Caenorhabditis elegans: one gene and its partner. The protein of the gene in region 1 interacts with the protein of each later gene in a pairwise test. Each region holds a gene or a part of one and is shown on either strand. Other genes may lie near its edges.

The links.
Region 2: the proteins of alfa-1 (region 1) and smcr-8 interact in a two-hybrid assay, tested with the Caenorhabditis elegans proteins (one study listed by BioGRID).

What each region holds. Positions count from the first base shown.
Region 1 is NC_003280.10:7,657,802-7,664,529, reverse strand, and holds alfa-1 (ALS/FTD Associated gene homolog), read left to right. Parts: upstream 1-2,241; 5' UTR 2,242-2,264; coding exon 2,265-2,309; exon of another isoform or gene 2,310-2,418; coding exon of another isoform or gene 2,419-2,454; intron 2,455-2,515; coding exon 2,516-2,779; intron 2,780-2,823; coding exon 2,824-3,307; intron 3,308-3,355; coding exon 3,356-3,653; intron 3,654-4,015; coding exon 4,016-4,247; intron 4,248-4,293; coding exon 4,294-4,404; intron 4,405-4,449; coding exon 4,450-4,692; intron 4,693-4,740; coding exon 4,741-4,943; intron 4,944-5,720; coding exon 5,721-6,045; 3' UTR 6,046-6,202; downstream 6,203-6,728. Other genes in the region: F18A1.7 (Chondroitin proteoglycan 4 domain-containing protein), read left to right, coding at 776-893, 941-1,243, 1,292-1,559, 1,610-1,721.
Region 2 is NC_003281.10:4,997,325-5,001,999, forward strand, and holds smcr-8 (Guanine nucleotide exchange protein smcr-8), read left to right. Parts: upstream 1-2,050; 5' UTR 2,051-2,058; coding exon 2,059-2,218; intron 2,219-2,263; coding exon 2,264-2,578; intron 2,579-2,626; coding exon 2,627-2,773; intron 2,774-2,815; coding exon 2,816-2,928; intron 2,929-2,974; coding exon 2,975-3,366; intron 3,367-3,413; coding exon 3,414-3,500; intron 3,501-3,538; coding exon 3,539-3,601; intron 3,602-3,710; coding exon 3,711-3,969; 3' UTR 3,970-4,044; downstream 4,045-4,675. Other genes in the region: tmem-131 (Transmembrane protein 131 homolog), read right to left, coding at 1-41, 88-208, 380-669, 714-809; R144.10 (Coiled-coil domain-containing protein 25), read right to left, coding at 4,147-4,461, 4,513-4,560, 4,604-4,672.

The DNA of each region.
Region 1 (6,728 bases):
AATGAAGGGGAGACGATTCAATTTTGAATTCTCTACAGGCCGGATACGCGCCAAAAAAAATGGCGTAGAATGTGATGTTTGCGGGAAATGTGTGCCGAAAAGCGGGAATTTCTGTTAGTCAAAGAAAATCGAGCACAACTTGAATTAAAATATGAGAAAACAAATAAATATTAAAAAAAGGAATTGAGAAGTTTTAAAGATTACAATAATAATTGTTGAAATTTTGATGAAGGTTTTACATCGGCCAAAATCGCATGAATCGAAATTATGGCAGCGCAATATTGGAAGAGGGTTAAAATACTGAACAAAAACATTCTAAAAGTCAATACTTCGTCCAAACATGAAGATTTTCTGCAGGTTCTCAACAAAGCAATTCACATTTGAAAAAGAAAAAAATGAATGGCTCGGACCACCTGCGTAAATCTTGCCGGGTACGGTATTCGCTTCGAGACCTCCATCAAAACCGTAGTTTGGAAATTGTTTTTTCCCGCCGATCTAACTTTTCTATTGACGCGCTAAATTTTGAAATCAGAAAAGTCGCATAAAGAATTCGGATTTTGTTTTATTTTCATTTGTCAGTTTTGATAAATTTTCATTTTATAAATTATGTAAAGTTTCGGCTATATCAGTTACCCACTTCATTTCTACCTAGCTGTTCTTTTCCTTATATGACCTTCTTGAAAGCTTATAAAAGTTTTCGAAAGCTTTTAGACCACTTTCAAACTGCTTAATATCTAACCCCCATTTCGGAAAAAAAACTTCTACATAATTCCAGATGCGCCATCTCCATCTCGCCTTCTTCCTTCCCGCCATCTTTCTGTTCTTCTCGTGTGTAAATGGTGCCATCGAATCGGTACACGACGACAAAGATGTCGTGCCACACGAAGAACAAGGTAAAAAACTAGATTATTGTGTGCTTAAGATTAAAGTTTCACTTCAGCCCTCGACGTCGACACAATTTTCCGCGCTCTTGGAGTTCCATATTGCATGCGAAAGTGCATCGACCCGTTCATCAATTCTACGACGTCTCTGTGGAACATGAAGAATGTTGTACATCAAGCTCGCAAAGTCTGTGGTCATCATGCACAGGCTATCACTTGTCTGAAGAAAGAACAGTACTGTGATCACAACAAGCTCTTCGCAAAAGCCAGCAGCAGTGTTGAATATATGTGTGCCACAAAGCACGTTCTGTTTGAGCGAATGGAGTCGTGTCTCAACCCTGTCGTTGATGATATCATGTCAGGTAATTTTTTTTCTGAAAAATTGCCCACCATCAAAAAATCGTTTTCAGGCTGCGACAAAGAATGCTATGCTCGTTCAAACCTAACTGCTTTCGCTCAAGATTCTAACATTAAATTCGCTGCTACAGTTGGAGGTAATGTATTTATTGTTGCTGATCATCTTGGAGAACTTTGTAACTCTCTGCAATGTACTCTCCCATGTGTCACCAAGCGACTCAACAGCAAGTGTGCCTTGAGTGGATGGCTTAGTCTGGACATGCTTATGCAACCATTCGATGCCGTTTCTGTAATGGTTGATCAATTGTCACCAGCATTGAGGTTAGTTAGTGCGATCATTATTAAATATGCTATGTAACTAAACATTTCAGGGATGTCATCAGTAAGAAAATCGATAAAAGATGCCGTTTTGCAATTAACCCAACTCGTCTCAACCGCATTCGCAACGGCGATTTCAAGGCTTTTAACATGGATAACATTTGATCGCATCTCATTTCATGATTCCAGTACTCACTAAAACCCACGAATTGTAAATAATCACCCGACACAAATATGTTGATATATCGAATAAATAGTTGTAAACTGTAAACCGCTTTCAATAATCATTTTCTCAAACGCGGATGAAAGCCGAAAAAAATTCTCGTGACATTTTGTACAACTATCGAAGCTGAAATGGCCGAAATATCTGAATTTCGGCCGCGTGGTCGACAAAACAGCTGACAAGTTCAATTCATCGATCAATAATCGCATTTTGATGAGTCAATCTATTCCCTTCCATCGCTCTTCCATTGTGAACGCATTAAGTTAATGAGAGTGTAAGGATCGTGGAGACGGAGACGTAGAGACAGTTGTTAACCTACAGGAAAATTCTTTCGTTTGTTGCCTGTGTAAATACAGCAGTTTGCCTTGTTCTTTCCCTTCATTTATTTCAAGTTTTCCCTTCAAAAAGCTACTATTTCACAATCGATTTACACTTTCTCTAAGAAAACGACATAAATTGCAGAATTTTGTGTATAAATTTATCATATGGAAGCGGATGAATATTTTACCACATACGATGCGCTTAAAGACGTGAGTATCATTTCCTTTGTGTTCTTATCACATTGGCATCTTATCATTTATATATTGTGGCGAATAATATGAACATTTCCAATAGAATAGAAACTATAAATTTTCCAAAATGCACTCTGCCGCTGTTAAAAGACTGAAATTCAAGGTAGATTATACATATATAATTAGATAAAATAATTGAACGTTTCGAAATATGAATTTTTCAGCAACAAAAGAAAGATCACGCTGTACGAAGACTGCTGCCACTCAAAACGAGTGAAAACTGCGGAATAATGAAGATTGTTTGGTCGCAATTCGACTTTATGACTGGCCCGGAGCTGAAATTCGTCTGGGATGTGACACCTTCGACTTCAATTTCACCAGTAAATCTTTCTGGAGAGGATGGATCAATTGCAGATGCTGAAAGTTTAATGGATTCTTCAGGATCTAATCAATCGGTGTCTTTTGAAGAAATCGATGATCCATTAAAAGTGAGTTTATTCAGATAAAGCTATCAAATTTTTAATTTTTGCAGACAGAATTAACAATTCTCGATGGTTTGGATGCCAATTTAGTCGATTCATTTGCTGATTTCGATTTAATGAATGCTGGAGACTATAAATACAAAACACTCAAGTATTTGGATGAATATATGACTGAATCTGCTACAACAAGTACAAAAACATTGACAATGGATGATTCTCGTATTATGGAAAGTCCTGAAAGCAGTGGAAAATCATTAAGAGATGAAGGACTGGATCATTGTTGTGAAGGTAAATTCTTGGAAGATGAACGATTGGGAACCAGCTTTACACTTGCTTCTCCCTCTCCAAATGATACTGGCCATCTTGGGAAGCTGCTTGCAAGTAAATATCCAAATGAAGAAGATAGAGAACTCGCAGAGTATCTTCGAGATAAAATTGCATCCACCTCGACGCCAGCTCCGAACGTTGCGTGCGTGGCACATCTTACCGAACATTATGAACTTGACAGACTGTCGCCTATTAATAATGATGATGGTGAGTTTCAGATTTCTTTGATAATCTCAATGTTGTTTATAATTTCAGAACTCCGTCGATCTTGTGTTGATTCTGGAGTTGGTGTGTCAACTCATAGTGATTTATCTGCTTTGTGTCAAAGCCCTCCTTGTAAGAATCACATCAAAAAGTATGAAGATGCATTTGGAATGATGACATCGACTCCCAATTCAAATGTTTTTGAATTTCGAGAGGAAAGAGGTCATACAAAAACTCCACCACCGAGAGATATTTTCGATTTCTTCGATGATCAGATTGATTTTGGAGAATCATATGTAACAGATGAAGCTTTTGTTGCCAAATGTGTATTGGCTGAGCTTATTTGCAAGTAAGCTTATTAACCAGGCACAAAATATTGCCATTTTAGCAACAAAAATACGGTGTTCGGTCTCGACACTATATTTTTGTTAAATACGAAAACTTATGCTCCTTTAAAAATGTACTGTAATAACTCATGCTGCTGCGAATTTTTCATAGATTTTTCTATAAAAATACATTTTAATTGAAAAACTTAAGTGAAACAATAAGAAGGGAAACGTTTAAAAATCGTGAGAAAAAATTTAAATATTTAAAGGCGCACACCTTTTTTTCGCTTTTGACACAATTTTCGTGTCGAGACCGACTACCGTATTTTTGGCGCAAATATTGCAGTATTCTACAAAAAAAGTTTAGTAATTATTATGATTTCAGTGCCCCACATTCCCGATGTCCTCTACAACACAAGATGATTGTTTCACCCTCACGTCACTTATTAGTTGCGGCGTTTATTTTCTCAGTTCAAACAAAATCAGGATCAACTATTACATATGCCATATCATTCCTTATGTCACATCTTAAACAAGAATGGTATTTGGATCGACATTCATGGTTTGAGAGAATGGTTGGCGATTCTGTTCCAAAAATGAAAGCCTCATTATTTTCGGTTAGAATAGTAAATTATAGTCTTTCGACAATGCATCAAATTTTAGGAAGATTCTGATGATGTACTGGTTCGAGTGACTTCTGAACTTTCTCGCCTCTTGTCACTTCTTTCTGCACTCGAAAGATTTCCTCTTGTTTCTCTGGAACGACCTTTAATGGTAAGATTTACTCAACTACCACAAAAAAATGTAATTCGTTTTCAGATAAAGAACACACTATTCACGGATAGAGGAATTTCAATTTCCGAAAATCGACTTCTCGCAAAAGCGATTTCCGGATGCTTGCAAAGTCAGGGTCATACTGTAATTATTGGATCGGATCATGTTTTGGTTGCCAGACTCCTCTATACTCTTGCATTTTTTGTTCCTGAAGCACATCAATGGTGTTGTCTAAGAGCTTACCGACACAAGTATAATCCATATTTAAAATTACAAGGTGTACGAAGGGTATGTGAAACCATCAAATTATTTTATTTTAAAAAAACATTATTTCAGGCAGAACTCCCTTCAGTTATAATGAGCGGAACATCAAGCCCTTGGCCTATTTGTATCATCGACATTGATCGGTCAGCAGTGTGTATGTCAGCTTCATATCAAAAACATCGAATTTTACGAGCACGAAATGATTCTCGAGGGGTACGGTTGATTCTTGAACATGCAGGCGTGATGGTTTCGAAGAACACAAAAATTCCACAGATGTAAGTTTGTTTTTTTTTGAGAAAAAGAAAAAAAAAGATCAAGGTGCGCGGATTTAAAATTTACTGTAATTTGAAACTTTTTAATACTGCAGAATTTTCAAAATCAGATTTTTAAAATTTTTTGATAAAATTCTATTTACATTTAAAAAAACTCAAATATAACAATAATAATACCTCATTTTTGATAAATAGAAAAACTATGAAACATCTATGAAAACTTCGCAGCAATAAAAGTTTGAATTTACAGTACTATTTCAAGGCTCACACTTTTTCCATTCAACAAAAAATAGTCGTGTCGAGACCGTGTATCGTATTGTTGACAAAAAAACGAAATCTGGGAAGTACTGTAATAGTTAATAATTGAATTTTTAACAAATTCCTAGAAAACATTCGTATGTTGATTATATAAAAACGATCACTTATAAAAATATTCAATCAAATATATTTTGAGAATTTGAACATTTAGTGATTTTTTCACTTGATCTATTTCGTGAAAACTGTTTTTTAAGTTAAAAAAAACCTAGAAAAAAACCTAAAAAAGAGCAATTATTTGCAACTAGTTTTTAGTTGCGCAACTAAAAATGACAAATTTTAAAAATCAAAAAGTTAATTTACACCAACGATAAATATAATTTTCATAGGAAATTAAATATAATTTATTGATTTTTATAGCAGAAAAACATTACAATAGAAATTCGAAAATTATTGAAGATTCATTATATTTTTTATAAAACATTTAGGTAATTTATTCTCCAGAAAAAATTTTGATTATTCCAGAGAACTGTCACCTTGCCGAACTCTTGAATCAGTGAATACATTCCTAAAGCAAATGGATTTACTTCCAATGGAAGAATCAGTTCGTTCTGGATTCTGTACTCAAATAATGCTCTATTTCGATAATCTTGCCGCTGCATTCATTGCTTTTGTCCGTGATGCTAGTCGCCCCGGAAATGACGAAAAAGAGTGCGGAACACGATCCAAATCGTTCAGTTTAACTGAATGCCGAAAATCCCTGGATCTGACCAACGATGCTCTGTTCAACGCGGTTCTAGCGAGAGCCGAAATACTTCAGCCTGACATATCCGAATTTATTTACATGTAGAGCCAAAGTCCAAACCAGTCATGGATATTAAATACGAGATACTCTTTTTTTTTGCCTTCAGTTTCTGATGAATTTAGTTGCATTCCCCAATTTTTTGTTACACTTTTATTGAATTGCCTACCATTTTCCACGTGTGATGAATAAAAACTTTATAATCTTTTGTTTTTATTCTGGCAAACAGTTGAAAGAAAAATATGATGAATCAAGTTTATTTTTCAAATCTTGCAATATGAACCTCTCATCTATAAATATGTGCTCCTTCTCTCTTCAACGAATAATATTATTCAAAACTTGTGTTCCAATCTGTGCTTGTTGTTGCTGCTTCTGCTTGAATATGAGAAAATCATAATGACGACGAGAAGAGCAACCTTCCTTTTTTCCCCTCAAAATAAAATTACAATTCAGATTCCAAAAAGAAAAATGAATTTACAAATATTTTTTCAACTGATCTGTCAAGTGTTGATTGACGTAAAATATTTCATAGAAAATGCCACCAACCCCTCATTTAAAATAAGGAAAAGGTACCCATTAATTTATATTCAACATTTCTTTGAAAATTCGAATTCTCTAAGAAAACTCGGTAATTCATCAATATTTTGTGTTTTCTTTTACTTTTTTCTCATTTCATATATGTTGGTGTCAATGTATCATCATTTTCTTATTCTATAATTAGTTATCCTCCT
Region 2 (4,675 bases), on another chromosome or scaffold:
AAGACCACTTCCAATGATGTAACACCATGTGGCTCAAGCTTCTGAAATTATCAAGAAATAATTGATTTTTGAGTAGAGAAAACTCACATATTGCTCAAAATATGAAGCTTGAAATTCAATAGAGTTGACAACAACTGCATCGAGGAATATCTGTTCATTTCTCATATTTCGAATGTAGATTTTGCGTTTCTGCGCGGTACCGACAGAACTGAAAAAAAATGCATACTTGGAAGGTTTTTTAAATTAATCAAAATTTTTGTTATCATACTTAAAATGGCCCCAAAATGTCGAATTTCATAACGAGACATTCCAAAAATTGCATTTTTTCAAAGTCTCGTTATGAAGTTCGATCTTTTGAGTATAATTAAAAATTATTCACTTTTGCCCAAAATCCATCATTGGTGGATCCATCTCCATTGGAAGTTTCCCTTTTCCAGACAATTTCAACACGTTGAATGTTTTCGTCGCATGGTTCTTGTTGGCTTCTTTCGGACAATTTCCTTCACAAACTCCTTTAATTGAATCATAAACTGGCAATTGATGCACATTTTCGGGTCGAATAGGATGATTGAGATAGTGAAGCTCTTCACCGATTTGAACAAATGCGGTATGAAGAACTGGAATCTCGTGAAGCTGGGATGCGGACACTTCTTCTGGAAGAGGCCATGCCTGAAATTGATTTTTTAATGTGAATTTCTGAGGCTAAACCATACCTGCTGATCTGCAAAAGTTGAAGTGATTAAAAGAGAAATTAGGAAGAAATATATCGTCCGATATCTGTTTGAAGTTTTGTGTATTGATGGAACCATTTGAGCATTTGGTAAATTGAGAGTTTCTCTGAAAAAACGAATAAATTTTTTTCTATAGGTTTTCTGAGTAAGATAATTAAAAAGCACAATAAAACGGAAATCAGTTTTTATTGCTTATTTTTTGCTTATTTGCTTATGCAACATGGATGATACGTGGAATTGAACGGCACTAAGAGATTTCTCCAGGGAAATAAAAAAGTGAGAGACAACGGCAAAGGCGACGTCGACTTCAATTGGGAAGGATAACTGGGAGAAGAGATAGTGTTTGATTTGGAGAGACCCAGTATTCGGCATCTTGGGAAGAAGAAGATACAGTCGTCGTGAGACGCAGAACAAATAGGATCGATCGATTTTTGAGGGAAAATAGAGATGTTGAACACGTCATCACACCATTATAAGAGAAAGAAGAACGAAGAAATCTGGTTTGGAAAAGTGAAGAGAGAAAAAAGAAAAAGGGCTTTTTTCGGTGAAAAATGAGTGGAATCAAGTGAATAAAACAAAGACAAAGTGATAACCATCTGTCATCTAGGTCAAGGCAGTCAGGAAAAAAGTCTATAGCTGTCAACCGCAGGCTAGTTTTATTACCTCGGGTATGAATATTAATGAAGCATTAAAATATTGAGCGCTTGGATTTACATAGAATTTAGAAAATCAGAAAACAGTCTTTATTTAGCAGAACAATTGTGGAAATTATGGACACATTTTTTTTGTAATCAGAAAATGATTTTCTTCGGCTATTGTTGTTAACAAACACGCGAAAAATAGAATATTTGACAGAGTATACTATAAATATCAAAAATATGTCTTAAATAATTCCGAATATGCAAATTTCTGCGCGAAAACGTTCAAAACTGACGATTAAAAACCAGAAAAACTACAGAAACAAATTACAGTTATTTCAGCCGTGTGGAGAATCCTCGGCCACGGCCACCAGAACAATATCTCCTGACTGCAGTGACTGGTTTTCCGATGTTTACACTGCTGGAAGTTACTTCATTGTTCTTTTGCAAACAATTTCGCTTGGAAAATATTGATTTAATTTAACTTGAACGTAAATTGACTTTTAAATTGATTAATGAGTAGTTTTATAGAGGGTTTTGGTTACTGTAGCTTTAAAGGCGCATGCTTGAAAAGTTTTAATGAAGGAAACTCTTCCATAATTTGCAAACATTTTCACTTTTGTTTTTTAAGCCGTTTTCTGCTGAATTCGTCTTTTTATTATGAAATTAAAATTGTATTAATTTCAGAAATGATTTCATTCGAGGATTTTCTCCTCCGACCATCCAAAGTCGTCGATCCATTCAACAGATTCGTCGCAAAAATTGATCCATTTCTGACTCTTGTCGAATTTTGCCAAGTTATCGGACCAAAACCACTAGCGGTAGTTTCTCAGCGGCCAGATGATAAAAGTAAATATTTATACACAATTTTCTCGAATAAATGCTAATTTTCAGTCCGCGGAGTTGACATAAACGATATGGCAATCTGGTTGATGTCGTCTGATACTGTTCCGGGTACAATGATTGTGTTGGAAAACAATCAAACGGGTGTATATGCGGCCGCATATTATTTTAATTTGTACGACATGAGAGCAAGAGCTTTTCAAAGAAATTTATGCATCGCCTATTTATGTTCGGAGAAGCCAACAAAAGAAACTTTGAACCTATTCTCATCAGCTATGAAAAAATTAGTTTCACCAGTTTTGATTTGCAATCGACGTCTGTTTATTCGCCATGTCACTGATATTGTCAAGTTTTCGGACAGTGTTGGTAAGTTTTTTTTCTTCGATTTTTTAAACAAATTGTTACCATTTTCAGATGAAACCACCCTGAAACAGTACTATACACTGAATGGAGATTCACAAAAGTTGTCAGACGGAAGCAGATTCAATGTAGTTTTCGAGCAAACCAGGCTTCTAAAAAGCAAATTTTTGACGAAAAGATTTCAAGAAATGGCTTTTGATGGTGAACAAAACGTTGAGACTTTGATTTAGAATTATATTTCAGATGACATTTGCTGTGGTCACAATGCAGAAAACATGAACGAAGCTGAAGATATTATTTGCTCATTCCGAGTTCCATCAATTCCATTGAGTCCTGTGGAAACTCTCACTCCATGTGTAAGATTTTAAAACCTTTGTTGCCTATAAAAATTAAATTATACAGGCGTATTCATCCATAATTCCAAAACTACGCCAACTATGCTCCGAACTATGTTCATCAGGAAGCCCTAATAGAAATTCTACTCATGGAGCTCTTTTCTGTGGACACCGTCCCATCGCAACTACATCACCAGCCGCCACTACAACTTTGCCTTGGAACACTGATTCAGGAAAATCTGATAATGATAAAAACGGAGAAGAAACTCTAAAAGAAGTAACTGGACACCTGGGAGATGTCATATTTCCATTGCTTTGTGGAGAAGATTTGGTAGTTTGTGGAGCAGAACAGAGAAAGAGTACTGTAGAAGATATGCTCGGGAAATTGAGCAGAGTTGTTCCAAGAGAAAGTGCTCGGAATGTAGAAGAAAATATCAAAATCGAAAAGGATCCAAATAGGTAAATAATCAGAAAACATTCAATTCTAAAATTTGGTAATTTTTCAGAATAGGCAATGGATTGGGCGGTCTGCTATGTAATAGAAATGAGACCGGAAAATTGGCAAGATGGAGAAATGTTCTTGATATGAATAGGTAATAAAAATTCAAAAAAAAAAAAATATCGGTTTCAGAAGTGCTCTCAAGACGTTTACCTACGATGGATCATTGCTAGCTGGTCTCAATAAGAAAAGAAAGTGAGTAACATTTATGGACTTATTTCCTTATCTTGTCAAACAATTAAGTGCAAATAAGGGGATAAGTTCAGTTAAGATATACACTCTCCTAACAATAAACGCCTTTCAGGTTCCCATCTGATCGTTCCCTGGTCCTTTTTATAATTGCCTATTTGACAAATATTTGTCAGCTTGCATTCATCTGTCGATATATGTTCATCAAATCTCCGAACTCTATCGAAAAAGCATTGGGAGATCAGCAGAAACTGAGCTCAGACGACGAAAGAATATTGATCAACTTGCTGATGGGAATCGACTTCGAAAAATTCAACCAACTCAAAGTATCATCCAAAGACGGGGCAAAGCCGAGTAGAACCATCAATTTGTGATTTAAAAATTTGAATATTTATGAAACAATAAAAAAAATCAAATTCAGTCTGATACAATACAAGCTGTCATTGAAACAAAACATAATTATAGATGATATGAACAGTAATTAGAAGAAGGAAAATTTTAAAAATAAGGACGACAGAGCATTGATTTACGACAATGCATTCGGAGAACTTTCATCTTTTGATGATATCCTGTTTCATTTGGTTGATTTCAGCCCAAAAGTCTGCCTTGTCACGATTTCTAGCCAATTCAGCCGCCTTCTTGAACTCTTCAAAAGACTGCTTCAGAATGGCGAGCTCTTGACGCAAATTAGTGTTTTCCGCCACGAGATGAGCGATTTCTTTTTCATGTTGTTCTAAAACTCGGTCATCTTCTTCGTCTGGCTCTGTCATTGATCGTTTTGACTTTTTATAATGAGCCTTTGGTTCAGTTGGCCAGTGACAGATGATTTCTGGTTTATCAATGTCCGGGATTCTCACTTTGCACACCTGGAAATGTAATTTTGATTAACGAACGCTTTTGTTAATAAGAAATCTCACCATATATTCTGAATTATTGCATTTCACGTACATGTTCGAAAGAACAAGCTGTAAAATAAAAAATAACACTCGAAAGCTGAATTTATCTTACATCAACACTTCCTGAAATAAAATCCACTTTGTCAGCAACAGTCGGGTGTTTAAGCAGATTTTCGAAGTCCTA